4 linked regions of the Struthio camelus genome follow. The protein of the gene in region 4 purifies or fractionates together with the protein of the main gene of each other region. This does not show direct contact. Links are inferred from orthologs where the notes say so. Each region holds a gene or a part of one and is shown on either strand. Other genes may lie near its edges.

The links.
Region 1: the proteins of HSF1 (region 4) and HSPBP1 purify together in Homo sapiens (affinity purification with mass spectrometry; 5 studies listed by BioGRID and IntAct, counting the BioPlex papers as one, with this or other methods). This does not show direct contact. The link is inferred for Struthio camelus from reciprocal best matches to the Homo sapiens genes HSF1 and HSPBP1.
Region 2: the proteins of HSF1 (region 4) and HNRNPA2B1 purify together in Homo sapiens (affinity purification with mass spectrometry; 3 studies listed by BioGRID, with this or other methods). This does not show direct contact. The link is inferred for Struthio camelus from reciprocal best matches to the Homo sapiens genes HSF1 and HNRNPA2B1.
Region 3: the proteins of HSF1 (region 4) and FBXW7 purify together in Homo sapiens (affinity purification with western blotting; 4 studies listed by BioGRID, with this or other methods). This does not show direct contact. The link is inferred for Struthio camelus from reciprocal best matches to the Homo sapiens genes HSF1 and FBXW7.

What each region holds. Positions count from the first base shown.
Region 1 is NW_027182594.1:275,499-283,332, forward strand, and holds the start of HSPBP1 (hsp70-binding protein 1), read left to right. Parts: upstream 1-4,820; 5' UTR 4,821-4,941; intron 4,942-5,019; 5' UTR 5,020-5,023; coding exon 5,024-5,152; intron 5,153-5,877; coding exon 5,878-6,061; intron 6,062-6,742; coding exon 6,743-6,964; intron 6,965-7,048; coding exon 7,049-7,204; intron 7,205-7,834. Other genes in the region: histone-lysine N-methyltransferase KMT5C, read right to left, coding at 371-534, 612-721, 1,518-1,683, 2,408-2,517. UniProt on the Homo sapiens protein: Inhibits HSPA1A chaperone activity by changing the conformation of the ATP-binding domain of HSPA1A and interfering with ATP binding. Interferes with ubiquitination mediated by STUB1 and inhibits chaperone-assisted degradation of immature CFTR.
Region 2 is NC_090943.1:38,644,774-38,652,551, forward strand, and holds the start of HNRNPA2B1 (heterogeneous nuclear ribonucleoproteins A2/B1), read right to left. Parts: upstream 3,134-7,778; 5' UTR 3,031-3,133; coding exon 3,001-3,030; intron 2,473-3,000; exon of another isoform or gene 1,469-2,472; coding exon of another isoform or gene 1,457-1,468; intron 1-1,456. Other genes in the region: CBX3 (chromobox protein homolog 3), read left to right, coding at 5,062-5,085. UniProt on the Homo sapiens protein: Heterogeneous nuclear ribonucleoprotein (hnRNP) that associates with nascent pre-mRNAs, packaging them into hnRNP particles.
Region 3 is NC_090945.1:38,375,933-38,382,947, reverse strand, and holds the start of FBXW7 (F-box/WD repeat-containing protein 7), read left to right. Parts: upstream 1-4,008; 5' UTR 4,009-4,017; coding exon 4,018-4,125; intron 4,126-7,015. UniProt on the Homo sapiens protein: Substrate recognition component of a SCF (SKP1-CUL1-F-box protein) E3 ubiquitin-protein ligase complex which mediates the ubiquitination and subsequent proteasomal degradation of target proteins.
Region 4 is NC_090943.1:172,755,562-172,763,521, forward strand, and holds the start of HSF1 (heat shock factor protein 1), read right to left. Parts: upstream 3,042-7,960; 5' UTR 3,009-3,041; coding exon 2,883-3,008; exon of another isoform or gene 2,485-2,882; intron 1-2,484. Other genes in the region: ribosome biogenesis protein BOP1, read left to right, coding at 3,489-3,617, 4,056-4,232. UniProt on the Homo sapiens protein: Functions as a stress-inducible and DNA-binding transcription factor that plays a central role in the transcriptional activation of the heat shock response (HSR), leading to the expression of a large class of molecular chaperones, heat shock proteins (HSPs), that protect cells from cellular insult damage.

The sequences.
Region 1 (7,834 bases), on a different chromosome or scaffold from region 4:
TGGGGGGTGGCCGGGGGTCCCAGGGGGGCCCTGGGGGGCTGTTGGGGGTCCCAGGGGACAGCTGGGAGGTGGCCGGGGGTCCGGGGGTCCCAGGGGTGGCCCTGGGGGGTGGCCGGGGGTCCGGGGGTCCCGGGGGGGCCCTGGGGGGTGGCCGGGGGTCCCGGGGGGGGCTGTTGGGGGTCCCGGGGACAGCTGGGAGGTGGCCGGGGGTCCGGGGGGGGCCCTGGGGGGTGGCCGGGGGTCCCGGGGGGGCTGTTGGGGGTCCCGGGGACAGCTGGGAGGTGGCCGGGGGTCCCGGGGGGGCCCTGGGAGGTGGCCGGGGGTCCGGGGGGGGCCCTGGGGGGTGGCCGGGGGTCCGGGGGGGGCCCACCGTGGTTGATGAAGGCGGCGGGCCCCAGCCAGAGCTGGGCGCAGCGCTTGCGGGTCGAGTACATGATGCTGAAGTCGTTCTCGCCCGAGCGCAGCAGCCCCTCGTCCGGCTCCGTCAGCTCCGCCACGCAGCCCACCAGCAGCTCCAGCTTGTCGTTCTTCCGCCTGCGGGCCGGCCCCGGCGCCGTCAGCGGGCCCCGGCGTCCCCGCGGGCCCCGGCCCCCCGCCCGGCGCCCCCCTACCACGACTTGGTGGAGACGACGCGGGCGCCGTTGGTCTCCAGCGAGTAGCGGCTGCAGGGCAGGATGGCGAAGCCGCTCTCCGGCAGGAAGATCCGGAGGTAGCGGAAAATCTGGGGGGGGGGGGGGGACACGCCGGGCCGTGAGCCGGGCAGGGGCCCCGGCGTCCGGGCCCCCTCCCCCGAGGAGGGGCCCAGGCGTCCCCCTCCCCCGAGGGGGCCCAGGCGTCCGGGCCCCCTCCCCCGAGGAGGGGCCCAGGCGTCCTGCCCCCCACCCGAGGGGCCCAGGCGTCCGGGCCCCCTCCCCCAACGAGGGGCCCAGGCGTCCCCATCCCCCGAGGGGGCCCAGGCGTCCTGCCCCCCACCCGAGGGGGCCCAGGCGTCCCCCGAGGGGGCCCAGGCGTCCTGCCCCCCACCAGAGGGGCCCAGGCGTCCTGCCCCCCACCAGAGGGGGCCCAGGCGTCCTGCCCCCCACCCGAGGGGGCCCAGGCGTCCCCCATGCCCCCCCCGAGGGGCCCAGGCATCCTGCCCCTCCCCCGAGGGGGCCCAGGCGTACCCCCTCCCCCCCCCCACAGAGGGACCCAGGCGTCCCCCATGCCCCCCCCGCAGGGCCCAGGCGTCCCCCATGCCGCGAGGGGCCCAGGCGTCCCCCCTCCCCCGAGGGGCCCAGGCGTCCTGCCCCCCACCCGAGGGGCCCAGGCGTCCCCCATGCCCCCCCCACAGAGGGGCCCAGGCGTCCCCCATGCCCCCCCCACAGAGGGGCCCAGGCGTCCCCCCTCCCCCGAGGGGCCCAGGCATCCCCCATCCCCCCCCCACAGAGGGGCCCAGGCGTCCCCCATGCCCCCCCCCCGCGGGGCCCAGGCGTCCCCCATGCCCCCCCCCCCCCGCGGGGCCCAGGCGTCCGGCTCACGTGGCTCTTGAGCGCCGCCTGCTGCAGCGGCCGCCGCCGCTGGAAGTAGCCGCCGGCCCAGGCGCCGCCCGTCAGGGCGCGAAACGCCGCCTCCAGGTCCCGCCGCCGCCGGAAGCCCTCGACCGCCGCGCGCAGGTGCTGCTGCCGCCGCAGGGCCGGCAGGGGGCTGCACCGGGCCTCAGCGCCCGCACCCCCGGGACCGGGACCCCCCCCCGGGACCCACCGACCGGCACTAGGACCCCCCGGATCCCCTCGGGACTCCCCCCCCCCCAAGACGGGCACTAGGATCCCCCGGGACACCGGGACCGGCGCTAGGACCCCTGAGACCCCCCTGCCTCCCTCGGCCCGGCACCAGGACCCCCCGGGGCACCAGGACCCCCCGGGGCCGACTCTAGGACCCCTGAGACCCCCTCGGGACCGGCGTTAGGACCCCTGAGACCCCCCGGGACCCTCCGGGACCGGCACTAGGACCCCTGAGACCCCCCTGCCTCCCTCGGCCCGGCACTAGGACCCCCCGGGACACTAGGACCCCCCGGGACACCAGGACCGCCGAGGCCGACTCTAGGACCCCTGAGACCCCCCGGGACCGGCGCTAGGACCCCTGAGACCCCCCGGGACCGGCACTAGGACCCCTGAGACCACCCTGCCTCCCCCGGCCCGGCACTAGGACCCCCCCGGGACACCAGGACCGCCGGGGCCGGCATTAGGACCCCTGAGACCCCCCGTGACCGGCGCTAGGACCCCTGAGACCCTCCCCGCGGCCCGGCGTTAGGACCCCCTCCCCCGCCCCGGGACCGCCGCGGCCCGGCGCTAGGACCCCCGTGCCTCCCCGCGGCCCGGCGCTAGGACCCCCGTGCCTCCCCGCGGCCCGGCGCTAGGACCCCGCGGACCTGACGCCCATCTTGTGCGTGCGGAAGCCCAGGACGGAGTCGAGCACGAGGCTCGTGGCCAGGTCGTCGTTCTCGCAGAGCTCCCGCGCCGTCACCCGCGGGGCGCCCATGGTCCGGCCCGGGGCATGCTGCTCCGCCGCCGCCCTGCGCCGCCGCGCCGCCGTGGGCACCCGCACCGCCCCCGGGGGACCGGGCGGGCGGAGGCACCCCCTCCCGCTACCGTAATGCGCCCAGCGCACCGGCCCCGGGACCCCCTCCCGCTACCGTAATGCGCCGAACGCACCGGCCCCGGGACACCCGCTACCGTAATGCGCCCAGCGCATCCGCCCCGGGACACCCGCTACCGTAATGCACCCGACGCACCGGCCCCGGGACCCCCTCCCGCTACCGTAATGCGCCCAGCGCACCGGCCCCGGGACCCCCTCCCGCTACCGTAATGCGCCCGACGCACCGGCCCCGGGACACCCGCTACCGTAATGCACCCGACGCACCGGCCCCGGGACCCCCTCCCGCTACCGTAATCCACCCGCCTCGGGACACCCGCTACCGTAATGCGCCCAACGCACCGGCTCTGGGGCCCCCGTTACCGTAATGCACTCGATGCACCGGCTCCAGGATTCCCCTACCGTAATGCACCCGATGCACACGCCCCGGGACACCCACTACCGTAATGCACCTGACGCACCGGCTCTCAGACAACCGCTACCGTAATGCACTCAATGCACCCACCCCGGGATCCCCCTACCGTAATGCACCCGACGAACCCGCCTCGCGACCCCCCTATCGTAATGCGCCCGATGCAGCCGCACCAGGATCCCTTCCCGTTACCGTAATGCACCCGACGCACCGGCTCCGGGATCCCCCTACCGTAATGCACCCGACGCGCCGGCCCCGGGACACCCGCTACCGTAATGCACCCGACGCACCGGCCCCGGGACACCCGCTACCGTAATGCACCGAACGCACTGGCTCCGGGTCCCTTCTCCCGCTACCATAACGCACCCGATGCACCGGCTCCGGGACCCCCTACCACTACCGTAATGCGCCCAACGCACGGGCCCCAGTGCGGTCGCACACACCCGCGACCCCCCATCCTCGTTACCGTAATGGGGCCGGCAGTGCTCCCCCGCAATGACCCCGCTACCGTAATGGAGCCGACAATGTCCCCCCACCCCCATTGCCCTGTTACTATAAGGGGGGGGTAGAATCGTGCTCTGTTACCGTAATGCTCTCAGTGACCGGCCCCCCGAATCGGCCTTGGGGGCGGGGGGGCTGGAGAGGAAAGAAAGAGAGAAAGAGAGATCTGGCTTCGCCTTAATCCTCCGACTAGCAGCGCCCGCCTGGGTGGGGAAGGGCCGCTGCTTTTACCGTAGCGCTCTGAATAGAGCCCCACCTTCCACCGTAACGCCTCATATAGCAGCCCCCCGTGGGGGGGGGGCGGGAGAGCAACCCTATGCTTACCGTAACGCACCTAATAGCGGAACCCCAGCACTCCGCCTCAGGTGACGGGAGGACAAGGCTTTACCACAATGCTCGTAGTAGCGCCCCCGTCTCGGAGGCGGCTGCTCTGACCCCGGCGATACCGTAACGCTCCGAAGAGCGGCGCCCGCCTCCCTCCACACGGCGGCCGGCGCCAGGCCCCGCGTGGCTCGCCGGTGAGGGACCGTCCAAGGCCGCCCCGCCGCCGGGCACGACGGGGCGGGCCCTTCCCCCCCCCCCCGCGGGGGCCCCGGGACCGGCGGGGAGCGGCCCCGACCTCACCTGCTCCCACCGGCGCCGCCGCCGCCGCCGCCTTTCTCCCTCTCCCGCTGCCCCCCGGAGCCTTCACAGCTCGTGCCCGCCCCCCCGCGCTCCCCATTGGCCCCCGGCACCCGCTCGGCTTCTCCCATTGGCCGCGGGCGCTGTCAGTCGCGCCCTGCCCCGCCCCAGCCCCCCTCACGCGCCCCGCTCGCCTGGCGGCGCCCGCCGCCTCCCATTGGCCTCCGTCCGCGCAGTCCCGCCCCCCGGAGGCCGGGAGCGCCGCTCTCATTGGGCCCGTCGGAGAGCCGCAGCTATTGGCTGAGCCGCCTGCCTGTCGCAGGTAGCCCCGCCCGCTCACTCTCCCTTCCCGCCCTCTTCGGTCGGCGCTCCTCCGCGTCCTATTGGTGCCCGCCGAGCCAATCGGCACGAACCCCGCCCTCCCTCTCTCTCCATTGGCTGGATTCCCCCATCAATCGCATTGCCCCGCCCTGTTCCCCACCAGGTCCCGCCCCGACCGAGCCCACCCCGCCCTCCCCAGCTCCTATTGGCCTCGCGCCTCGTCAATCACCCGCCTTGCCCCTCCCCCGCACCGTGGGGCGCCCGCCCCCGGCGCCGCTCCGCTCGCTCCCATTGGCTGAGAGAGCTGTCGCTCAGCGGCACAAAGCGGGGACGCGGGGAGGGGGCCGTGGGGGGGCAGCGCCAGCCTCACGCAGCCGTCCAGGCCCCGCCCCCGCGCTCGGCCCCGCCCCCCGCGCAAGATGGCGGCGCCCAGGGAGCGCGCGAGGCTGTAGGAGGTGCGGGGGGGGGGGAGTTCAGGGGGGGGCGGCGCCGTGCCCGGTCCCCCCGGTTCCCTGACGGCGGTGTCGCCGTAGGATCATGGCGGAGCAGGAAGCCGGGGGGCCGCCGCCCCCCCGCGAGCCCCCCCGCAGCCTGCAGGGGCTGCTGGAGATGGCGGTGACGGCGAGCGAGCCCCAGGCCGAGCCGCGCGAGCCGCTCAGCGACGAGGTGCGCCCGGACGCCTGGGCCCGCGGGGCGGGGGGGAGCCCGGATGCCTGGGCCCTTGACTGGGGGGGAGCCCGGACGCCTGGGCCCTTGACTGGGGGGGAGCCCGGACGCCTGGGCCCTTGACTGGGGGGGAGCCCGGACGCCTGGGCCCGCAGTGGGGAGGGGGATCCCGGACGCCTGGGCCCTTGACTGGGGGGGAGCCCGGACGCCTGGGCCCTTGACTGGGGGGGAGCCCGGACGCCTGGGCCCGCAGTGGGGAGGGGGATCGCGGACGCCTGGGCCCTTGACTGGGGGGGATCGCGGACGCCTGGGCCCTTGACTGGGGGGGATCGCGGACGCCTGGGCCCTTGACTGGGGGGGATCGCGGACGCCTGAGCCCTTGACTGGGGGGGAGCCCGGACGCCTGGGCCTTTGACTGGGGGGGAGCCCGGACACCTGGGCCCGCAGTGGGGAGGGGGAGCCCGGACGCCTGGGCCCTTGACTGGGGGGGAGCCCGGACGCCTGGGCCCTTGACTGGGGGGGAGCCCGGACGCCTGGGCCCTTGACTGGGGGGGAGCCCGGACGCCTGGGCCCTTGACTGGGGGGGATCCCGGACGCCTGGGCCCTTGACTGGGGGGGAGCCCGGACACCTGGGCCCGCAGTGGGGAGGGGGAGCCGGGGCCCCGGGGTGGCGGGGGGCGCCGCGGGCCGGACGCCGGGGCCCCGCTGACGCGCGGTGCCGGCAGCGGCGCGAGTGGCTGGGGGCGGCGGTGGCGGCGGCGCTGGGCGGCGTCGGGGGGGAGTCGGAGCAGCTGCGGCGCTGCCTGCGGCTGCTGCGGGAGCCCCAGGCCGAGGCCGAGGCCGAGTCCAGCCCCGAGCACGTGCTGGAGCTGCTGGCCGAGCTCTGCGAGAGCCTCGACAACGCCACAGGTAGGGGGGCGCTGGGGGGGTCCAAAGGGGGTTTGGGGGGGGCCCAGGGGGTGATTGGGGATGGTTGGGGGGGGTCTGAGGATGCCCAGAGGGGTCCCGGGGGGAGTTGGAGGGGTCCCAGGGGGTGGCTGGGGGTGTTGGGGGGGTCTGGGGATGCTCAGGGGGGTCCTAGGGGGCTTGGGGGGGGTTGGGGTGCTTGATGGGGTCTGGGGGTCCTTGGGGGGGGCTTTGGGGTACCCGAGGGGGGTCTTAGAGGCCTTTATGGGGTCCCAGGGGGTGGCTGATAGAGTATGGGGGGCCCAGAGGGTGGCTGGGGGTGTTGGGGGGGTCTGGGGAGGCCCAGAGGGGTCCTAGGGGGTGGCTGGGGGTGTTGGGGGGGGTCTGGGGATGCCCGGGGGGGGTCCCAGGGGGTGGGGGGGGTCTGGGGATGCCCGGGGGGGGTCCCAGGGGGTGGGGGGGGTGTCGGGGGGGTCTGGGGATGCCCGGGGGGGTCCGAGGGGGTGGCGGGGGGTGTTGGGGGGGGTCTTAGGGTGCTTGAGGGGGGGAGCTGAGGGTACTTGATGGGATCTGGGGGTGCTTGCGGGGGGTTTGGGGTGCCGAGGAGGCTCCCCCCGGGTGGTGGGGGTCCCGGGGTGGGGGGACAGGACGACGCTGACCCCCCCCCCCCCCGGTTGGCGGCAGAGCTGTGCGCGCTGGGGGGCCTGGAGACGGCGGCCGGGCTGCTGGAGGACGCGCGGGCGCCGGTGCGGACGGCGGCCGCCCGGCTGGTGGGCGCCTGCGGGCAGAACCTGCCGGGGGCGGCGGGCCGGGCCCTGGCCCTGGGCTGCCTGCCGGCCCTGCTGCGGCGCCTGCGGGCCGAGCCCGAGCCCGGCGCCCGCCGCGCCGCCCTCTTCGCCCTCTCCTGTGAGTCCTGGGTGGGATTGGGGGGGGGGAACGCACGCGCGCGCCCACCCCCCCCCGGCCCCGCTGAGCGCCCGGCCGCCGCAGGCCTGCTGCGGGCGCGGGCCGAGGGGCTGGAGCAGTTCGAGCGCCTGGGGGGGCTCCCGGCCCTGCTGGAGGCCGCCTGCGGCCCCCCGCCCCCCCTGCGCGCCAAGGCCGCCTTCCTGCTGCACAGCCTGCTGCGCCAGCACCCCCGCCTCAAGGGTGAGCGCCCCCCCCCCCCGGCACCCCCCAGCCCTGCCCTGGGACCCCCCAGGACCCCCCCAGCCCTGCCCTGGCACCCCCGGGACCCCCCCAGCCCTGCCCTGGCACCCCCGGGACCCTCAGGACCCCCCCAGCCCTGCCCTGGCACCCCTGGGACCCTCAGGACCCCCCCAGCCCTGCCCTGGGACCCCCCCCAGCCGTGCCCTGGCATCTCTGGGACCCCCCGGGACCCCCCGGGTCCCCCCCAGCCCTGCCCCGGCACCCCCAGGACCTTCCAGGACCGCCCCAGCTCTGCCCCAGGGCCCCCAGGACCCCCCCCAGCCCTGCCCCGGCACCCCTGGAACCCCCCAGGACCCCCCCAGCCCTGCCCCGGGACCCCCCCAGCCCTGCCCTGGCACCCCTGGGACCCTCAGGACCCCCCCAGCCCTGCCCTGGGACCCCCCCCAGCCCTCCCCTGGTATCTCTGGGACCCCCCGGGACCTCCCCAGCCCTGCCCCGGGACCCCCGGGACCCCCCCAGCCCTGCCTTGGCACCCTTGGGACCCCCCAGCCATGCCCTGGGAGCCCTGGGCCCCCCCCAGCCGTGCCCTGGCACCTCTGGGACCCCCTGGGACCCCTCCCCAGCCCTGCC
Region 2 (7,778 bases), about 130 Mb from region 4:
CTATTATCCTTCCAGTCCCACTCAGAATCTTCATGAAAACCCTCATTTGGTAGCAAGCTAATATAAAAGACAGAATAAAAAAACTCCTTTAAAGACTTCCAGAGTGCATTCTACCGCAGTAACAAACTGTGAGAGAAAATCTTTTGGAAATCTGTAAATCTTCCTTAGGGCTTATTTTAAGCCTTCCTTCACAGGCTAAAAGCAACACTTCAAAGGACTGGAAAACATGAAGCCTACACTGGAAAATCCATCACCAGACCAAGTAAGTGCGTTTCGTGTCATAACAGCATGGGTACAAATACTCCAAGCTGACTGCAGACTTCTGCAGAGTTAAGAATCCGAGTAACAAAAACGGTTAACAAAACAGGTAAGTGGAATCTCTGAGCTGGCACTGCCCGCCAAAATGGAAACTGCCAAGCGATTACACTTCCCCAGATTTACTGGCCCCAAACCAGAAAGACACTTCCAACCACTCGCTATGCAGTCGCGCCCCGTTAGCCCCTAACACCTCTTACATGGCTTTCCGATCCATCAGTCTACGTCCTCCCCCTTCCCCCGCAGCCCGGTATTATCAGGAGTGAAGCGGCTGCCATGCCGGCTCCGCCATGTGGCGGCTATCAGGAAAACAAGGGCCCCCGCAGTTAGATGAGGAAAATGGCGCCCAGAAGCAACCGTTGCCTCCAGGGAAAGCGATGCGGCGGGAAGGAAAGAAATTCACAAAGAACCGACGCCAGAATAAAGAAGCTAAGTTACACTCGGGCCTTCAGGAAAAACACAAATCAGTCGCTGCAAACCGCTTCTAGCGTCCGGCTACACACGCCTTACCAGGGAGAGCTTGCAAGCGATTGCTTTCTGTTCCCATAAAGATAACAACGGCAGCCTGGCTCTCAGCCTCTACTGCTCTCCCTCCCTACCCCCTTTCCCCTCCTAGGTCTCATCCTGAAAGCCTCACGCACGAGCGAGTCTCGGCGCCGCCATTTTACCCCTCCCCCTCGTTACCGCCATTATCAGCAGCGCCACCCCGGCCGCTCAGCGTCCCGCAGGGCAAAGTAGAGTCCCGGATCGCGCATTAACTGACCTCCATAGTGGTGTGTGTCCCCCTCTCCCTTCCCCGCAGCACCACCCTAACGGCAGCTCAGCTAAAGGACATGTCGGGAGATTTAAGAATTCGTACCCGCACGCACAGCTACCGCAGCTTCCGCCTCCCCTCTCGAGTGCGCACCAGCCCCAACCGCCGCTTCCAGAACCTTCCTCCCTGCTAACGCTTCCTCTGCGGAGAGGCACCTAGCCGCTAGCCGCGCCGCCGCTAACGGGGGTCGGCAGCAGCACCCAGACCTACGCTGCCCGAGGACGACTCTGCTCCTAACCCCCCGATCCTGAAAAAGCACTCCATCTCCACAACCAGACACGCCACCCTCCCTAACAGCCGAATCTGTATTTTTCCCTTTTCACATACCATATTCTTCATGGTTTACGTATCCCTGCTTGAGAATACCGCACAACTGCTCAGTAATGGCTGCCTTAACTGTTACGTAATTTGAAATTCAGCTCCACGTAGTGCTAGCGCCCTCCTTCTCCAGCCCAGACTCGCTGCCGATGTTTTAGTCAAAAAGCTCGAATCTGGAGCTTAAATATCTCCAAAGGGGCAACAGTTCTGTATAACGCCCCTATGTGTTTTAATCACGTAATAAAAAGTCATCAACTCCGTTAGTAATGGCTGTCTCCGGAATGAGCCGAAGGAGCTGTCGTCGTCGAGCTTATCCACTTCGACAGTCGCCGGAAAAAGCCGAAATAGGAAAGGAAGCCCATTCGATTCGCTTCGGCTATTTCCGGAATTTGCCGAAACGGACAAGAATGGCGATCCGATCCCACTCGGCAATTTCCGGAGAGAAAGACGCAGCAGCCATCGACGATACAGCGCCTTCGGCAGTTTCCGACAACGGAAGAGCTTTCTAATACGTGCCCGAGCGGAGCCGAAACGGCCCCGACCAGACTTGGCACCGCGTCGTGGGTGGTTTTTTTTTTTTTTTCCGGAAATTGCCGAACCGCCCCGAAGACTCAACCTCAAAGCAAGGGGGTTATAATTAGCCAAAGGGCTCGTTCCCCCCCCCCACCTTTACTCCCCCCCCCCGGCCACCTGTGGTACTGGCAGGGCCCGGGCGGGAGCACAGCGCGGTGCCTACGCGCGCCCCCGACATCTCCCCTTTTTGTCGGCGGGTTGGCCCCTTCCCCCTCCGCCCGGGTAGGAGGAAGTGATAGCTGCCCAGATTTTGGCGCCAGCACCGAGACATCGCCGGGGGCCGAGAGCCAGCGAAGGGAGGCGGACTTCGCCGCAGCCTGCTCCGCTCTACCCCGCAACACGGACAGAAAACCCATCGGGCAAGCCACTCACTTAGACATTTATTTCTCCTTCCTCCTTTCTTTCCCTCCCTTTTTCTCTCTTCACCGGCCCCGCACACACCGCGACAAAGGGTGAGTGCCGCCGCCCCGCGCACCAGGGAAATGGCGCTAGGGCTGCTCCTTTCTTCCCGCCCCCTCTTCTCCTCCCCCTCCTCCCAGCTCCCCGGGAAGCGACCCCTCTCCCGGAGCGAAGCACCCTAAACTGACTCGGACCCGTTTCCCCCACTTAATAAAGGGCTTTCTAGGCCCCCAACCGCTTTCCAACTCCCGCTTTCCTCCCTCCCCTCCCCCCTCCCTGGCGCTCGCTCAAGACTAGGCCGCCTCGCCGCAACGCGGGAAATGGCCGCGCTCCAAACGGCCCGGGCCCGCCTCAGCAACGGCAAAACGAACTTCAAAGCCGCTCAAACGCTCCCTGCCCGCCTTCCCCGCACCTGGGGATCGCCCCAGGCGCCCCCCCGCACGGACTGAAGGCCTCGCTCGCCCTGCGGCGGGCGGCGGCCGCCCCGACCCAGCACGCCCTCATGGCGATGATCATCATGGCGGCGGCGGCGGCTACCGGCCCGCCGGGCCCGTTTCCCCCTCCCGCCACTTCCCGCTCACCCAGTCGCTTTCTCTGTCGCCGCGAGGCATCTTCCTTCTTTTGGACGCTTGACGCGGTCCTGCACTCGCCCCCCGTTGGAGAGACGTCTTGGCCCCCCTCCTGTACTGGCGGCGACGACGGGAGGAGGTTGCAGCTCGCGCGTAGGCGGCGTCGTGCGCTCTGCCCCGTCAGTCGCCGGCACGCAGAGCTCGCCCAGCCCAGCCCCGCCAGCAGCCGCCGCCTCCCGCCCTGCGCCGCGCCGCGCCGCGCTGCCGCCCAGCCGCTGCCGCCCCGCCCTCCCCCTTCCCCTCCCCCACCCCCCCCTCGCCCGCCTCAACCCCCCTCAGATGTCGCTGTTGCCGCCGCTGCTCAGTGCGCGCAGGGCGAGAGCGAGGAGGAGACGGGAAACCCGAGCGGCTTGAGCACCATTGAAGTCTGTATCCTTCTCTCTCTCCCTCTTTCTCTCGCTTCGATAACCTTCCCCCCCCCCGCCGCCTCCTCCTCCTCCTCCCCCCCCTTCCCGCCACGGGGGAGCGGGCGCCCCGCGGAGCGCTCCTGCACCGCGGCCCTCGCCTCAAGGCCACGGCGGGAAAGGCGGGGGGCAGCCCGCCTCGCCCCCCTTCCCCCCCCCCCCCGCCGCCCTCAGCCGAGCGCTGCCGCTTCCTTGGCGGCGGGGGGTAACGGAAGGAGCGGGGCTTCGTGGGGCCCTGGCATTTCCACGGAGGCCCCTCGGCTGGCGGGGCGGGGGGGATGAGGGGGCGGCGGCGGCCCCCGCGCTCGCCAGACAAAGCGCGCCCGCCAGCGCCGAGGGGGCGGCCTGGGCCGGCCGCGCCGCCTTCAGGCGCCAGGCTCCGGGCGGCGGCGTGCGGGGCCCGGGGGAAACGTGGCGGCGCTGGGGGCGGGGGAGGCGGGCGGCGAGGGGGCCCCGGCCCCGCGGCGAGGGCGCTGCGGGCGGGCGGGCGGCTCCCGCGGCCCTCGCCCCCCTCCCCCGGGCCGGCCCGCCTTAGTCCCGTTAGCTCGGCCCCGGCCGCCTCGCCTGCGCCCGCCGCAGGCCTGAGCCGCTGCGCTGCCCCCCCCACCGCCCCCAGGCCTCCCGGGGGTTATTCCGTTTTATTTTCGGGTGGGGGGCGGGGGGAATTGCTGCTTCTCCCCTCTCCCTTGCCTTTCAGACGGAGACATGGCATGGCCCACCGCGCCGGGGCCCTGATCCCTGCCCTCCCACCTCACCCACCCCACCGCCTTTGGGGCTGCCAAAACCCCCCTCTCACATAAGAGGCGAGTTGGGCGGGATCGCAGAGCCGAGGAGGCTTTCTGGCCTTGGAGAAGGACTTCTCTTGCCTTGCCCGGGCAAATGCAAAATTGTAACAGCTCTATAGTTTGCAGTCAGGCGGGGATAATACATGCCTACAGAGGTGGCCAGTATGAGAAACGACGTGGAAAAGGGGATGGATCGCGTTCAACATCATTTGCTTAGGTTACATACATAGTATGTACAGCTTAGCTGCTGAGTTAGTATTGCTATAGGAACCTTAACTCTTGCAAACTTGAAAATCAGAAGGCAACGTTATAGTTGCATTAAGATAACGTTTGGCTGTTGATAAGCATTTACTACTATGTAAGAGTAATGGGTGACTCCTTATTACACTGCAGATATGTAGCTGCTCCCCACCAGATTCGCAGTTAATACATCTAGGTATATCTTGATTAACTGCTAGAATCTCTACTCTTCTTCTCTTGGGTTTAAGGAAATATGCATCCCTGATGGTCCTCCCCCTTTTCCCTAGAAACATCTCTGAGCCTTAGAAGGCCTTGGGAAAACCTTTTTTCAACTCTATATACGACTTTGTCGGTATCGTGTATCCTGGCTAGCATAACGGTGTGTTACTGGGTTACGCTGGACAAAGTAGTAACCTACTTTTTGTTCTGGATTTAATCCGTATTAGGAGTGTTATGTGCAGTGAATACATGGGGGTTGGAACAAGGACCATGCTTGTATTGGGATGCCTTTCTTTGAGTAATGTAAACTTCCTTTTAATTGTCATGCATTTTTCTAGTAAAAGCTCTGCAAGTCTGCAATAAAAATGGCCTCCAATAAAACTACATTGGTAAGTTCATGCACACCTAAAGTATATAAGGATTTAATCAACATTTTTCTTCAAACTTATAACTTGGCATCTCCATTTTAAAAAGATACATCCACATCTCCCCTCCCCAGCATTATTCTGACCAAAATTTCAGATCCAGAAAGTAAGGCTACTAGAAAGGACATTATCTTTGGCTTTAATAAATCTGCCATTTCTACTGAGACTTGTTGGGAAAAAAAATTAAAGGACTGTGCGCCATTTTATGTGCACTACAGTAGAAAACACTAAGGATTTTTTTAGCCTCCTTTCAGCACGCTGTGTAGTTCATCATGTATGTAAAAAGAAGTAAAGTCAGACTCGTGTATTCATTTAACTGTGCCCAGTCTGTTCAGGTAAGACAGATTGCTTGAGAAAAGGCAATCTCCTTACTGATGAAAAATAACATTATTGGGAAAATGATGTGGCATAGTTAAGATGCCTTTTGAAACGATTTTTTTTAACAAATAACAGTTTCTTTGAATTTCATAGGAGCAGAGGTTATCAGATGGCAACCCCTCCTGGACCATTTTAATGATGCATTCATGGATCTCAAGTCCCTGTAAAGCTTTGCTTGACATTAAATTATGGACTTTTAAGGGCAGTTGGTTGCTGGAGAAGTTGTTTTAATTACTATTCAACTAATGATAACACATGTATTTGTAGGGGATAGACCTGGAGAAATATGGTGTGAGATGCATCTGAGATTTAGGCAGGGAAGTAAGCAAAAATACATCTATACAGTTTAAAGTTGGAGAGCAGAATTGTTTTATAATGTACTCGGAAGGCCTATTCTTAAATATACTAAAATTATTACTAATTTACCCAGATCAAGATATATTAAATACTTGTATGAACTCCTGGCTTATAAGTGCTATGGAGTACTTGCTTTACAGTTTACTGTAAACAAAATATAACAAAATATTTTACAGCTTTCACCAAGATGAATGTCTGAACTTTTTTTTAGTAACTGATTGCCCACTTCTCCCTAATTTGAGGATAGAGGGAATTATCCGGGGGGGGGGGGGGGGGCGCAGGGAGGGAAAGGAACCTGTGAACGCAGTATTTTTAATCTTTTGATGTTGCGAATTTTGCTGCACAGGTCAGGAGAATCAGTTATGGTTCCCATGGGAACCATAACTAATTCTGCTTCGTTATGTATTTGCATGCAAAACCTAAACATATTAAGGGATAGTGTAGCTCTGGAACTGTAATTCTGATTTTCTTGCCTCTTGTGTGTTAAAACCCTTTACTACAATGTCACATCAGTGTTATAATCTTACCCCTCAGAAAGAAAGAGTGATTACCCCCTGAAGAACATCTGTATCTGTCACATGTGACTTCTGAATACACAGAGAGAGAGATGAGCCATGGATGACCTTTCAATGTTCAAATGTCTAAGTTATGCCTTAAAACATGGAATTCTAAAGAAGGGAATTTTAAGGGTCTAGTGAAGTTCCTACCCTTAAACGGATGTTATACCTCACTTAAGTTAGTATTTTGAGATTTACATGGACTTGTATAATCTCAGAATATACAGGTTTTTAAGAAATATTCAGTAATTCTGCAGGCTCTGGAATCAAATATTACTTCAACAGTTTAGAAAGGCTTAAGAAGACAACTTAGAAAGCGGTGCTGATGCACAAGAGACCTAATTAAGTCTTTAATGTGTTTTTTTTTTAAAGCAACATACTCTTGAGTATGTTATTTTTTACCGCCCTCCCAAAAAATCATTTTCTTCTATGCAAGATTATATAGCTATATAGCCTTAGAAAGAAAAAAAACTGTTGTTTTGATCTAGAAGTCCTAAGCATTTATCTTAAGCGACAAGAATGAATGAAGCTGAAAAGAGTTTCTGAAAGCAATTCATCTTACACTGAATGAAAGCAAGAATTTTAGTCCAAAGGAGAACATTCATAGGAAGCTTTGCACTTGTGGCCAGCTTGCCTCATCACCAGTAATTATAATGTTATTACTATGGTATAGTGAGTCTGTGTCATTCTTCTTCTCGTCTTTTTTGTTTTCCTTATCTCTACCCGTTCCTCGTCTTTCATGCTTCCTTCTCTTGAAAGAAGTTGCTTTCCTAGACTAGTTGGACATCTTCATATTTTTATTTTCCTTTAATTTCAGTATTATGTTCTTTTTCCTTTGGAGGCAAAAAAAGCCAGTGTGATTAAGTTGACGCTCTCCAGACTTGAATACTGGAATACCTGGAATATGCAGGCAGTTAAAATCTAATTGGAAATACATACTCTGCTTTAAATAATCAGTCTTTCATAGTCCCAAATCAAAACAAGTGCCACACAAGATATAATCCTATACAGACGCTTGCTGTTTGAAAGGGAAACGTGACATTTTTCCTTATCTTTCTTCATTGTTTGCACCTTCCACTTAATGAGTTGCTAAGCCGTGTAAAGCTCTGTTTGGGAAGGAGAGGAAAAATTGATTAAGAAAATGAAAGGGCACAAAGAGTGGGCTTAGGAAAGAATCAACTTCATATCTCCATTTTAGAAAAAAACGACTGTTGACTTTGTCTTTGACAGACGTTATTTTTTCAGCCTTCACTACACCAAGACAAAATTCTGCAAAGTCTACAAATCTGACAGTTTTAAAATGGCTTCGCTGCATTTGCAAACTAACGCACATTAATTCTAGATAGGGCTACAAAAACACCATAA
Region 3 (7,015 bases), on a different chromosome or scaffold from region 4:
AAAGCAATTTACTGCTTCAACTTGAATCGTTTATTTAAAGTTTTTTATTACCCATAGTAAACCTTCAGTTAGAAACTGTCTTGTATCTATTTGCCTATCATACTGGTATATGAAAGGGCTCTTGATATATGTATGTCAAGCAGTTTTTAGGATTCTGATGAAATACATAGCTTAAAAATAGTTCATGACAGTATAAATTCTTAAGTTGTATTATTTTTAATTAAGTTTGAAGGATTTCCTTCATATTGCTGTCATCTTCACTTGAAAAATAATTAAAAAAAATGCCTAAATTCTTATCCTGTGCTAATTTCTGTCTTGCACAAACAGATGTGTAGTCTGACTGTATTAAAATTTAGTTATGTATTGAAAGCTTAGCTGTTTTTTTTAGCAATAATTTAAGAATCAACTTTGAGAAGACTGATTCAGTGCAAGGAAGTATGCTTACATATCAATTAGCTATTTTTTGATAATTCTGAAAAGTAAAATGTTAGATGGCTGTGTTATGTTGGATTTACTTTCTGAGACAGTGGAACTTAGATAGTTGTGCAGGCAAAAGGAGGGAGCTGGCCAGGCCATCAAACAAGCCAGAGCTCTCTGCTGTTTCATACCCTCTTTCAAAGAGTTTAAGACTCATTCATCTGTTGCAGAAAATTTCTCTCTCCAAACCCTTTACACATATAGCCTCTCTGGTGTTCTCTTGCTATTTCTTAAAGATGTAAGGAAGTTGTATATATTTGTTTGTTCAGGAGCTTTATTTCACAGTTAATATATTGTTTCTATATATATTATTGTGAACAATATAGTGAAGTATATATTCTGCACATTTTTTTTTTTTCATTACTACTTATGCTTTTCATAGTCTACAGTCTTTTCCGCATTCTGTGTTCAGGCTCTTTAACTAAGAGTGTGTCTGGCTGTTTGCCCATTTAGATTTTGCATACAAGAGAGTACAGCCTTAGCTCAGCATGAAATCATCTCTCCGTTATGTTTTTTTTTTTTTTTTTTTTTAAAAACAGCTGTGGCTTGTAATGGAGACTATGACAAGGAAGCTTTATTAGTATGATAAATGTTCCTTTGAAACCATAAGCAATCCTGCTTTTTTTTTTTTTAAAGTTCAGATTTGACCAAGTTTGTGGAAGTAGTGAGAGTTAATATACTAGTAAAAGTAACTGGTGTTCTGAAATATAACAGTTCCAAGGATGATGTCTGCATGACTCTGTCCTGTCAATGAATACTATAAAGGATAACATCACATATGTAATATTTCACTTAGAAATAGGGAAGTAATGAAAAAAACTAATAGCAACCAATTTTAACTTCAGAGGAAAGACGGAGTACCGATGTATTGAGAATTTTTCTGGAATCAGATGCTAGAAAAGTAGAAGAAACAAAATATTGTGGTAACAGCAATGTGAAATTTAAGCAAATCTGTTCTCATTTTTTAAAATAGCATTATAGGACATTTATAGGTGAAAAACAAAGCTTGTTCTTCTCTGTTGAACTACATCACTATCAGAGGGACTTAAATTCCACTGTCCGTAGATAGAAACGCAAATTCTGCAGTATTATTGCTTAGATGTTCAGCAAAAATATTAGATGTTCCTAAAAATATTTATTTTGCAGATAGCCTATACAGCTGTGGCTTGTCTGTCACAAGCCCTATCTGCATGCATCCTAGAATCAATAGTACATTAAGGAAGCTGACATGAGGAGGGGAAAAATCATAAATAATGAATAGCAGGCTTTACTGCTATTATTATATTCTTAGGCGGCATTTCATTTCTGCTAAGAATAATACAAATTCTAGTGAGATACAACTGTACTTTGTAACCTGATTAGACTTAAATCCATTATCCAAAATACAGCTGTTTTTGTTTAGTCTGTCCCTTGTTAAGAAATATAATAGCGTGATCCTTAACTGTATGCTGCCAAAAGAAAAAGGTAGGGTTTTCATTTATTAGAAATACTGTGTGTACAGTATGAATATTTTTATTGGAACTTATCTGCAGTCTACTGAGAGACCAGGTTTTGAAGTGGGGGGATGTGAGGGTTGTTTTTAACCACTGTTTTCTTAGCTTTCTAAACAATAGAAGCTTGTGAACAGAGGTTTTTGTGGTATGCAGGATATGTGAAGTTTTGAGCATAAGAGCATGATCCTTGCACTTTAAATCTGTGTATTAATTTTTTTTCATTAGCTCTCTCTGCTTCCACATCCTGCACATTGCTGGCAAGCATGCATCAGCAATAAGACTTTCTTCACTAATGTGTCTGACATATCTCTGTAATGTGCAATAGCTGATTTTTTTAGAAGTTGGCTCCTTTCTAGCCATCTGAGTAATTTCACCTGATATTACTTTAAATTTCCTATATAATGTGCTCTTTCGATGAATAGCTGTGTAGAATGAGCACAGGAAGAGCAAAGTCCTTGGCAATACCAGCTCAATTGCATCTGCAGATGAGGATTTAAAATTCTGTGCAGCAGACAGTACCTCCAGCAGGCGAGTAAAAGGTTACTGCATTATTTTCCTTGTTTGCATCTCTAGTCTTTATCTACCAAAGGCTTTCTTTTATTGTTCAATTTGTTGTGCATGCTCGTATATAGATGTAACTGGAAACTGATTTAATGGAAACACGGATATCGAAAGGGCAGAGCAAGGTGAAGGGAGAGGCTCAGTTGAGCTTTAAACCAAAGAAAGGGAGGGGGAAGAGAGAAACAGTAAAGGGGAGGGGAGAGGGAGCAGGAGAGAAATTAAGCTTTCAGTGCATTGCAAAAACAAGAAGTTTTTTGTCAATGTATTCATTTAAGCTGCTTTCATGTCACTTGCATTTTTCTTAACCTTTTGATAAAGAGGATGCTATTGAACCAGGCAAGTCATGATAGCTCTATAAATGTAAGTGACAATTATTTCAAGTCAGATTATCCTGTAATCAGGTTAAGCATTTGTGTTAATGTGAGACCTTCTGCTTTTAGAAGCAGTATGGCATACTGTCTTAAACCAATTAAAATGAGCTTTTTACAATATTACTTGCATCTTTTTTTAAATATGGGAAGGAAAAATTACATGGTTATTGTACCAGTATCTCCTGAAAATGAGATATTTCTCATAGTGAGTTAATTGCATGCGTTAGGTTAGAAAGGTATTCACTATTGCAACCAGAGTATACTGCTTTTAGAAGGCCTTTTTATGTCTGACTGCTCGTTTGAATGAGTTCTGCTGCTTCCAGATCCTTTTTTCTCTGAGTGAAGGACTCCTCCAAGACTTTATCAAAGCTGCTTATGCTAGCCGCCCCTGTAACTTCTCTCGGGAGTTGGCTCTGTTACCTTTTGACATTCTACTTCAAATTCTTTCCTTCTTGTTTCTTCCTCCGTTTACATTTTTGCTGTTGTTTCCTGATGTCCTCCTGGCTCACACAGCTTCCTAGCAGCCATTCTTATTTCAGGATCTAGCTAGACCCCAGCATGCTTTTTTTCAGGGCTTTCCCATTTTTGAAGTTAGAAGAAAAAAAATTTTTTTTATTTATCTTTTTTTTAAGGTGGTGCAAAAAGACACTTGCGGAGCCCAGCCGCCTCACAGGGCTCGACGTTCTCGCCTGTCGTTTGGACTGGTGGAGCCCTAAGAGCTGGCAGCCCCGGAGGGGAGCGCAGCCCACGGGGCGGCAGTGGGAGGTGGCCCCGGGGCCGGCCCGAGGGGCAGCGGGCGGGCAGCGGGGAGGCGCTCCGCAAAGAGGAGTCCCGGGCACAACGTGCACGTTTTTTAAAGCCCGCGTTTACTTGCTGATGATGGGCTGGGCCGACGCTCCCTGGACAAGTGCCTTTTTTTTTTTTTTTTTTTTTTTCCCCTTCTTCCCTCCTCCTTCAGTTCAACAGTCTTAATTTCAGCCAGGGAGCTGCAGAATGAAGCGGTTGAGCAGTTTTGAGCGTTTACGGGACGCCGACTGTCCCGATTTCTTTAAGAATAAACTCGTCTGATGAGCAAGTCAATGTGTGGCTGTGGCTGCAGCATTATTTCTTCTTTAATGAAGAGGCTGGGCTGTTCGACCTGCTGCTCCGATCTGCTATCTTGCAGCCATACATCAGAGCAGTTGCAGAGACTGTCCATTGAATGTCTCAGTCAGCCAAAGAAGGTAACTATATTCAAAAATTAAAATATACCATTAACAGGATGCTTTATAATTTGAACTTATGTGATAAAAAGACAGATTTCAGGTGTTCTTAGCAGTTTTCTTGACCTTGCAGTAGCTATCCAATATCATTTTGCCATCATCAGGTTGTGTAGCAATAGAAATGTGCTGCAGTAATTGATTTTGTAATAGGATCAGGTGATTTACTGGCTGCACTGACAACCACTTGCTTGCTTGTTCTGAAACGTGGAGCACTCTAATGGATGTTTTGATTGCAGCCTCGACTTGCTCTGAAACTGCTAGATGTTCAAAGATGTAGCATCTCATTTGTCAGAATAAAAACTTCTCTAGCTGTATTCTCCAAGTTATATTGGAAATTCATTTTTTTTAGGCTGACTTTTCAGATTCGAGATTCTTTGTACAATCCTTACTAGAGTAGAACAGGAAATAGTCTTCACCAACTTCATGTGTGTCAACTTAGCCCCTTTTCTTATAGCCATTTAAAGCACATTAACACATGTGCTTTAAGCGTTTCCTGAGAACTTGAGCCATGGCAAACATAGTCCAACTGTATGCTTAGAGGAGAGTATGCAATAATTCTTTTTTGATTGGTCTTAAGTGTTTTATTTTCTGCTAATATATTATGATTTGGAAGCAAAAAGCTGACTCTCTTTAGAAAACAAACCAAAATAAAAAAAATCATGTCAGAGTATCACTTTTATTGTAGAAAAGTCATTAGGAGGTGTGATCTGGTGAGTGAAAGTGAGGAGCTTAATTGGTTCAACCTTTTGGACCAAGCTGTCTTAGGCTGATAAAACTGAAACATGTTTTGTTAAGCTCTAAATTTTTAGATATGCAGTGCCGCATTCATCTACCAGGTCATTTGGGGAACAGTATTAGCACCAAGCATGCTACAATGATTGGCAATAGTTTCCACTTAATTTGCTTTCAAAATACATTCATAATTTTTTATCCCCTATTGTGCAAGGATAAACATCCCTTGCTCATGGTTATATGGCATAATGTATAAGAATGAAAGCTTGAAAAGTAAAATTAACTTGTGTTATTTAAAATTGTCCGTAGTTGTTGTCATTTTGTGTCTATTTTGCGCTGAAATGATGGAAGAATTGCATCAGGAAATAGGAATTTCCTGCATGGACTTTGAAATAAGAAACAGTCAAAAGGCAACTTTTCTATGCTGAAGTTTAGAGGATGGCAGCCACCTTGGCCTGGGAACATCAGTATGCTGTGTACGATAGGTAATTAAACAACTATCAAACTGGTAACAGTTTTTCAAGTGACTGTATAACACAGAGATTTAAATGGCCCAAAATAAATCAAGGTGGTTTGGTTTGAATTTGTTGAATCTAATCAAGATTGAAGTCAGTGAGCAAGAAACATTAGATTTAAACTAGTAGATTTTAATTTTGTTTTCCATTTATACCTCAAAGAAGGTTGTTAAATGGAAGTTGATTCTCACTCATGTAATTTGGTACATCTTTTTCCTAATGAGGAGAATATTCTACTACTCCCATGTTTGTTCATGCAGTATATAGCTTAACATTTAGAGTATTATTTTTTCAGCTGTTATACTGTGAAATGAGCATGAGTACTCTTGCAGAAGTAGGTGTCTCTTGCCAATTTATACAAATGAAAAGAAACCAAAATTCCCATTTCCTCAACACACAATATGTTTCTTCAGTTTGAATGAACTGGTCATTCAGTTGGAGTAGCAGAACGAGCTCAAACGTATTTTTTGAACTTGAAGAGCAGTAGTGTTCAAGGTTGTGTGTGTGTGTGGAGGTGGGAGCACTTCTCTGAGCTCAGGTTGCAGGACTTAGTCAATGATTGAGTTCAGTGATTTGACTTTTAAAAAAAAAAAAAAAAAAAAAAAAAGGTTGGAGTCCAGCACCCTATTTCAATTATTTGCTTTAAGTTGCCTTAATAGGCAAAAGGAAATGCAGCTATTGGCTTAGGAGAGAGACTAATTAAAAATGGCTTCCATTTAAAGGTGTTAACTTGATAAGAAAAATAAGACTAAATAGTTTATTTTTACTTTTAAATTTGTTTTATTCTTCTGTTATGTATCTCTTTCAAGGTTAGTTTATACTAATTATGTTTTTGGGGACCATAATGTTGTATTTTTGCACGAGGTTTTGTGAGAAAGCTGGTGTGATCCACTGTATTTTGTATGTCTAAACACAGTGATAATGAGATAAGGAGTCATGTCCTAAAGTTCAAGAAGAAAATTTTGGTAAATCACTAGGAAAAATAGGTTGGAAAGAGTTGCATTTTTCCGATAAAATAGAAAATGGAACATTATCATTTTCTAAAAAGAGCCATGTGCAAAACTGCACTGCAGAATTTAACAACTCCATGAAACTAGCTAGGGCAGGAAAGAAAAAAGGCCTTTCTATTGACAGTGGATATAGTACTGAAACAGTAGTAAATATTAGTAATATGTTCTCTCGGATTATTGTTGTACTAATAATAGAGCAGAATGAGGAAAGAAACTAATTAATAGGAATATCCTAAATGTTGTAACTAGGCTTAGCATTCTGAACGTTCACTGGAGATTTATTCAGACTGCCTCCTCTAAGTGTTCTTAACACCTCAGTAATGGGGTCTGAAGGTGCCCCTGCCCCAAAGCAGGTACCTCTGCCCCCGACTGAACCCCAGTATAGACTCTTACATAGGACCTCTGAATTGTGCGTAAGGTAAATGGAGCAGTTGTTTACTATAGTGTCTGTATAGTCTGTATGCTACAGATTCTGGGACTTCCCTGGTAGTCTAATTAAAAAATAAACAACACTTCACCATATTTAAAACTAGTGTTTTGTTCTTACTATTCAGCCAGAAGATATTTGCAGTGATAGCCCCTACAACAGCTCTG
Region 4 (7,960 bases):
ATGAGAAAGTTACTAAAAAAACTGTGTCACGGAATCATACAAATTTATATTTGAGGAATTTACCTTCAAAGCAGTAAAATTAAGAGTTAGACATCTAAGAAGTATATTCTGCTTCTTTAACCCTCCCGTTATGTTGATTTTCCTTTCTACTGAGATGATTTCTTCTCACAAACACATAAAAGATCTCTCCTCATTGCAAGCACTTCAAGATCCATGCGCCTGAACCCCTGCAGCTTTTCCCTCCCACCCATTAGCACAGGAAATTGAAAGAAAGGAAATAAATGCAGATGATAAAAAGAGAACAGGTACAAGATAAAGGGAGAGAGAGAAAAGAAAGAACGGGATGAACAACAAAGCAAGCAACTTGCGCATGAAGCAAAGATTTGTCTCCTACTCTGTCCCTCTCCCACCAAAGCAAAATTTGCTTTTCACTGATACTAAAAGGCTCAGTTCTCGGACTACCGCTGCGTAGATTTTCCAAAGCTCTTTTCTCCTCCAGCCAACATCCTGCACCATTGAGATAGTTTACGAATAATCAGCCACTTTGGTTTTGTATCCACACTCTTTGCATTAAAAAAAGGAAAGAAAAAAGAAAAGAGAACTACTTAGGGGAGGAGCCCTCTCTTTCTCCAGGTTTTCACACAGTGGATGTTTCGCACAGATTTCATCATCAACTCATAAAATATGTACTTCCAACATCATGAATAACAAGGAGGTCAGATGCCAGGCACAGTCATTCCATAAAAGCAAAAACAAACTTCTGAAGTGAAGACCTTCAGGAGCTAAGACCTTTACGATAAATTTGAGAGTTGTATCCAGACCTTCCCTTGTCAAGACCTATAAGAGTCATCCAGTTATCAAGAGTATAAAAAAAAAAATCTAAAAATCTATTTACAAGTCTAGCAAAGTTGCCTTGGAGTGTGTCTCCAGGCTGAACTTTAGGGCTCCAACACCATGAGTGAGTTACTGTACTGCTTTTCATGCGCACTTACCCTACAGTAAGCATGGAGGAGTTTATTACACATTGTACAAATTAGAATATTGCACATTTAACACAGGACAAGAACACGTACCTGGACAGTTACCATGAAATAATCCTTACCCAGGATGCTTGTTTCACAAGATGAAAAAAACAGTTTATGATTGTTTCTTCCTCGCCTTTTCATTCCCGCCTCCTAGGAACAGTTTACTTACCCCCTCGATGGGCTAATACAACTTTGCGTACTCATGGCACAAATTGAAATGGCCCAGATTAGAAATAACCCCAAAGAAGAGGGAGGAGCAAATCATGCCACAGGGATGGAAGCAAGCAGTCAGGAAGTCCTCTGTGCAGCCTCAACACTGACAAACACCACGCGTTTCAATAAACTCTTGAGTTTTAAAATCGCATCACAGGTACCATTCATCCCTTCTTTCCCTCTCCCCCCAGAAGGAGGAGAAACTTAAAGATGTAAGCATCTTTGCGTACCTGGCAGCACAAGCAAAGCACATCATTCCTATTTACAAAAGCCTGCTGATTTCCAGTCCCAGTTCACTGTAGCACTACCCAAGAAGCCTAGGCGAATCTGTTTGCTTGTAAACAGAAGCCCAAAGTTTGCATAGTATCTCCAAGCAACCTCCTCCACCCACAGCTAAGATTAAGGCAACTTGAATTTCCCACTGCAGTTCCCAAACGCAAGGGAACAGGGTAATGTTGTTCACCGCCCCTCCCGCAAATGCAATTTCTCATGGTTACTATTCCAGCAACACGGTAATGATCATAAACTCATTAAACGCAAGGCATTAAGTCTCTGTTTGTTCCAGTGACAAGACAAGGCATTTGTTTACAGGCAATGACTTGCATAGTTAAAGAGCAATGCAATATCTGTGGAAAACACACAGTGCAGGTCTTTCATCTCGTTACTACCACATTGAGTCAGATAAGCAGACGGAAGTCGGTAGAGAGCAGCTATGATCACGCTATGATCAAGAAAAAACATTCCCAGGATATATTAGCTTTTATTTTGGCCCTTATCTTTCATTTTTGTTATCTTTAACAACAGTTCCCATTGTCTTCGCTCCTCACTTCCATCTGAGGTGAAACCTGTGTATGACAGCCCTTTTCACTCTTACCAATGTCAGCGTATTTCTCTCCCCTCATCGGTTCTGGTAGCAAGTATCTGATCTGGAGTCAGGACAAGGTGATATGGGAGTCTGTTAACAGACTGTGGGAGACGGAGTAATTGAGCATTCATAAGAGTTTGATTCCCACTTAACTGTTTGGTCTGTCAACTTAAGAACCAAACAGCAAGGAAGCTTTCCATTTTGACTGCAGGTGAGCACTGTGAACGTATCACCCTCCAAAAGACTGCTCACAGGATACGCTCTGGATACCGCTATCTTTCAGACAAAAGTTAAACTTTCACGAGTGGCTAGAAGAGATGGAAAACGAAGCTTGCGTGACTGGTGTTAAGTACAAACCTGGGGCGTTTTTTTTAGAAACGCACCAGAAGCACGTGCCCAGCGCTGGGCAAAGGCTAGAAAGGCTCGCCTGCACGCAGGCTCTACCGCTGCAAGCTATAATGACGCTTCTAAAAGCCACACACAGCGTTCCCTGCCGCAGGAACAGTTAGGCGAGCACCTGGACACCGCTTTTCCCTTAAGTACAGGGGAGAGCTCGTTTCCCCGTGGGGTGTTACTCAGGCAACGAGGTTCACAGGCTGCACAAGCACTGGGGGTGGGGGGAAGGCCTCTAATTCGGCAAGCGCTTCTCCCGGAGAGGCGCAGGAACCCGCTGCGACGTTGTGACACACCGAGGCTCAGGTCTGGCGCTGGCGAAGTCACAGCGGAGCCCGGGCCACAGGCCGGGGCTCGGCCGCGTCGTCCCCTCAAGCGGGACTCACCGGGCTCCAGCAGATGAGCGAGTCGGTGTCGGGATCCTCCACCAGGGTCCACAGCTTGGTGAGGAAAGCGGGCACGTTGCTGCCGCCGGGGCCGGCGCCCACCGCCGCCGCGCCGGGCCCCTCCATGGCGGCCGCGGCTGCAGGCCCCGGGGCAGGCCGCGGCGCGTCCCCCCCCCCCGGGGAGCCGCCGGAGGGCGGGCGCGGGGGGGGGAAGGGAGGGAGGAAGGGAAGGCCGAGACGGGCGGGCGGGCGGCGCGGGGTTTAGTGCCGCCGGCGACCGCCGCGGCGGGGCCCGGCCGCTGCCTGCGCACTGCAACCCCCGGGGCCCAGCATGGCCGCCGCCATCTTGGGACGCCTCCGAGACAAGCCCCCCGCGCGGGACGGCCGCGCGCATGCGCGGGACCGCCCCGCCCCCTCCCCCTCCGCGGCCGCCGCCGCCGCCGCCGCCCGTGGACGGGGGGCCACGCCCCCTCCGCGCCGCCGCCACCGCCCGGCGCGGGGCGGGGCACCGCGCATGCGCCGCCGGGCCGGCGCCTCGGGTCCGCCCCTCCGCGCGCATGCGCGGTGCCCCCGGCGGGGCGGGGAGGGGCGGGTGGGCTAGGGCGCATGCGCCTCAGGCCGAGTTCCCCTCTCACCTTTGACCTCCCTCCCCGATTCTTTTTTTTTTTTAATTTTATTTTTTATTTTTCCGTCCGAACGGCTGTCTTCGCCCCTCCTCCCGCCGGGGCCGGCGCGGTGCGTGCCGGCGGCGAGGCGGAAGCGGAAGAAGAATGAGAAAATAACCGGTCCGGGATGGAGGGGAGGGGTGGGGGGGGCGGTGCGCCGTGACCTCTGACCCGCGCGCACGTGGCCGGCGGCGGCGCACGCGGGGCGGCGGGAAGGAGCCATGGAGCAGGTCGGGGGGCGCGCGCGCCGCGGGGGAGGGAGGTGGGGGGGCGTCTCCATGGTTACGGGGCGGCGGCGGGGCGGGAGTCACCATGGTTACGGGGCGGCGGCGGGGAGGCGTCACCATGGTTACGGGGCGGCCGCGCCGGGGCAGGGGGGAGGCGGCGGCTGTCGGGGGCCGCCCGGGCCCTGTCAGGGGCCCCGCGGGCGCCGCCGGTGTCGCCCCCGGGTCCCCCCCCCCCACCCTCGCGGCCCCGGTGTGATGCGACCTCGGCTCTTGCCTTGCAGCGGCCTCTTGCCGGTGCGGCGGTGCCGGAGGAGCCGGGCACGGAAAGCGACGACCTGACGGACAGCGAGGAGAGCGTCTACTCCGGCCTGGAGGACTCGGGCAGCGACAGCAGCACCGAGGAGGAGGAGGAGGAGGAGGAGGAAGAGCCGAAGGACGGTTCGCCCTCGCAGGCACACGTAAGGCCCGCACCGCCCGGTGCCCCTTTGCGGAGGCCTCTGCGCGGGGGGCCCCCCGCGCCCCTGCTCGGTGAGCCGGGCAGGAAGAGCAGAGCGCGGGCCGCCCGCCTGAGGCGGCGACGAAGCTCCTGCCAAGGGGAGCCTTCCTCTCAGGAGCGCGCTCGGGAAGGTCACGGGCCGTTTTTCTGTGCGGTGACACCAGTGCAGCTAGGTTGGCGCCGGCAGCCTGGCTGAGCTGCGCGCTGAGTAGAGCAGCCCTAAAAGTTTGGGGTGGGCTGGGGGGGGGGGCAACGTTCATTCGCATGCCTGGTGTCCCCTCTTGGACACAGCGTCAGTGAAGAAGAAACCTTATGTGTACAGGCTTAGGTGAGGCTTACGTTTCCTGACCCTAGGCTTGCATTTGGTGATGAGAAGCAGCCTGGAGAGCTGTGGTGCTGCTTGTTTGTTAGTTGGAAAAGGGATTTTACGCCTCTCTGCGCTTCTAGAATCTGTGCTAGCAGTGATACTTCTGCTGTCGATGCCATTTAAAAAAAAAATCCTGTAAAGACACAGCCTTACTTCTATTTCAGAAAGCACAGGCAGAAAGAGCGGTGGAAGAATTAACACTCTAGTTCCTCTTGCGATATTAATGAACGTTAATGTTACTTAGGCTACTCCAGCCTCCTTTGCCCTGGGTCATGCTCCAACTTGTGAACAAAAAGTGCCTTATTGTTTTCCTGGCTGTGTTTCTCGAGCTGTGTTTTTATTGATTTGGGCAACATGTAGAAGCTTTACCAAGGTCTGGAGTAGCAACTGAGTAGAAACTTACTCTAATAACCTGTTTAGGAATTTTATAATGGTGCCTTAGGCTGCAGTTTTGGTATTCAGCAGCAGTGCTGCTTGAGTCGTCTCCATCTACAGCTGCTTGTCCCCACCGACACCGCTGTCTTTGTTATGCTTGAACAGCTGTTTATGAATCCACTTAGTGGGCTAGGTCAGGCAGCTGATCCAGCCCAGAAATAGCACAGTGGAAATGGGGCTTGTTGTTGTTGCTTTGTTTTGCTTTTCAGAACAATTGGTCCCCTGAACTGCACAGGCTTTTTTGTTGGTAGCGGTGGTTGTTTTCCTTGGCATTGGCTCTCTGATCTGTTTTGCCACGTGTCCATGTAATCAACTGTACAAGCACAGCAGAGTGTTGCGCAGGGACAGGAATGTGTAGGACAATTCCCCAAGCCAGGACTTTTGCCAATGCATTGTATGTCCGCCTGTGTCCGTCTTATTGTATGAGAGCTGAGGCTGGTTCTTAGGCATCATCCCTTCCACCGCTCTCAGTTCTTCCACCTGTTACTCCATATCCAACTCTTTGTAATACTACCGGCCCATAGGCAAATATCTGCAGGCAGTGGGATCCGTCACTGTCTTGTTGCAACCCAGGTCAAGCTAAACGCGGTGATGAGTGCTCTACACTGAAATAGCATGTGCTTTCTATAGCTGGCACAGCCTATAAAAGAGTTAGAGCAGTAGCAGCAGAGTCTGACGAGGTCGGAGGAAGTTTGAACGTAGATTCCCCTTACTGTGAACAAGGCCATCGGCGAGATGTGCTTTGGCCTTGCTTCTGCTTTGGGCAGGGATGGCCTGGTGGTTTGCCTTCTGCCTTTAGGATCTCCGCTATAACAAAGTCAATGGCATCTTAGCATGTGGGCCTGGAATGGTGTCGTTCCTGCCACACAGGAGCCGTGCGTGTCGCTGGGCGGCTTGTGAAGAGAGCTATCTAACGTGGTCGGCAGCCCTTCTGAGCAGGGAGTGTTAGAGACGGAGCAGTGGCCTTAATTGGATCCCCTCTTCAGAGGGGTATCTGAAGGGTTTTCACATGGGGAAAAAACATCAGACATATCAGTCTTGGCCAGGAATGTATTTACCCTTTGTGCCTGTTTGAAAAAAAAAAAACGCTCCTTATGAGGGTTTCACTTTTCCCATACAGGGTTAAACAGAGGTTTGCTCTTTTCAGACCGTTTTCTTCTCTGGGGTCTTGCAACGAAGTTAATCTACTATCTGTGCCATTGTCCTTTTTGGTTCGCAGCCACTCCTGAACACTTTCTAAAGGAGCTGTGGACCCTGTCTAGTGAACCCCAGCCTCCTGAGGGGAGGTTTTCTTCTGTTCCTTCTTTACAGGCCCTTTGCATAATGCCATAAATATATGGGTTAAAGACTGCTACATTATAGTGTTGGAAACTTCTGCAGTTCAGACAGCTTTCCAGAGTGACTTGAGAATTTCAGGAGCTATGCACAATTAAGATTTTTATGTTGCATTCAAAGTGCTTGGATAGTTAGGGAGAGCAGAGCTAAATTACTAAGTAGGAATTTCCCCAGGAGCCTGCTTCCTTAAAAGCATTTTGAGCCTTTCCTTGGTCACTGTTCTGCCTGCTTTTGCTCTCAGCTTTGGACTGCGCTCACTGTTTCATGGGTGGAAACTTTGAGAAGAAGAGTGTAGAGTAGACATGCAGAGTCTAAGAAGGGAACGCTCTTAGGTCGACTCTGACTCAGCTGGGTCTTTCTTCAGAGCACTAAGTTGTCGTCCCTTGCTGGGGAGAATCGCTGAGCTGCCAGCAGAGATGGTAGACGCGCAGTGCTCTTGCCCGAGTGCTATTTTACTGTCATGTTTAATGGACTTATGGCTTTAGGCCAGGAACGAAGAGAGCTAGCTTCTGTTTAGAAAATATTTCACTTGTTCGTGCAGGAGAACTGTTTATTTACCTTGGTTAGATATGTTTAATTTTGAATGAGATTTCTCAAATGCTGGTCTCTTCCAGTATAGAAGAAGTTGTCTGTAGTGTCAGCTGAGTGTTGTAAGTGCATTAGTTTGGTGGCTCACTCGCCTGGTCAGTGATCAGCGTTCAGAACGATCTATTCGGAGCTGAACTCAGCACGAAGATCTGGTGTTGCTGGCCCAGGTGGACTTTGTGAGACCTTCTCATTCGATGGTTGGGGGCTGTTTGTGTGCAGGATTCTCTCTTGGTGCCAGGGTTTTCCTGGCAGGCTGAAAGGCTGTCTCACGTGGGGCCCGAGAAAGGAGGAGGGCGTATGGTCACCCATGTGCAAGGTGCAGCCCTGGAAGCCCCTGTCCATGTTGCACCCAGGCTGAACACATCCCACCACTGAGCTGCACCCATTCTCCCTTTTGCTCCTGCAGGACCGTGTGCCCGTTGCTGTCCGTCCATCCCTGTCCACTCTCCTCAACAGCCTTGTAACAGGGCTGGGCAGGAGGGGATGGGGATAGGCCCCCACTTCCCTAGCCCAGCGTGTTTTGGTTGGCCTGCTTCTCTGGCAGGGCTGCATCCTGCTCCAGGCCAAGCAGTACCAGCAGTTTCCGGGCCTGAGCTTGTTAGAAGCGTAGTCCTGCAGCCTATGTATCACGCCTGGCCTCAAGTGCTCTCGGGTGCAGCTGGGCAGGTCACTGGCTGGTGGCGTGGGGAGGGCTGTCCTGTTGCAGGGCATCCACTTGGCCTGCTGGGATGAATGGGCTACAGCATTTCTGATCCGGTTTTGGAAGGATTCTCCCAGATCTTTCTGGTTTGTTGTGATGCATCTCTCTCTGCTGTCCTGCATGTCGTGAGCTGAGCAATGACCTCGTTTCTCTGGCCCAACAGAGAAACTTCCTGTTCTGTTCTCTTTTTCCTACTGTGATTGACAGTGAATGTTACACTGACAATGCGTCCATTTTTTTTGGAACTGATACAAAAGAACGCTAG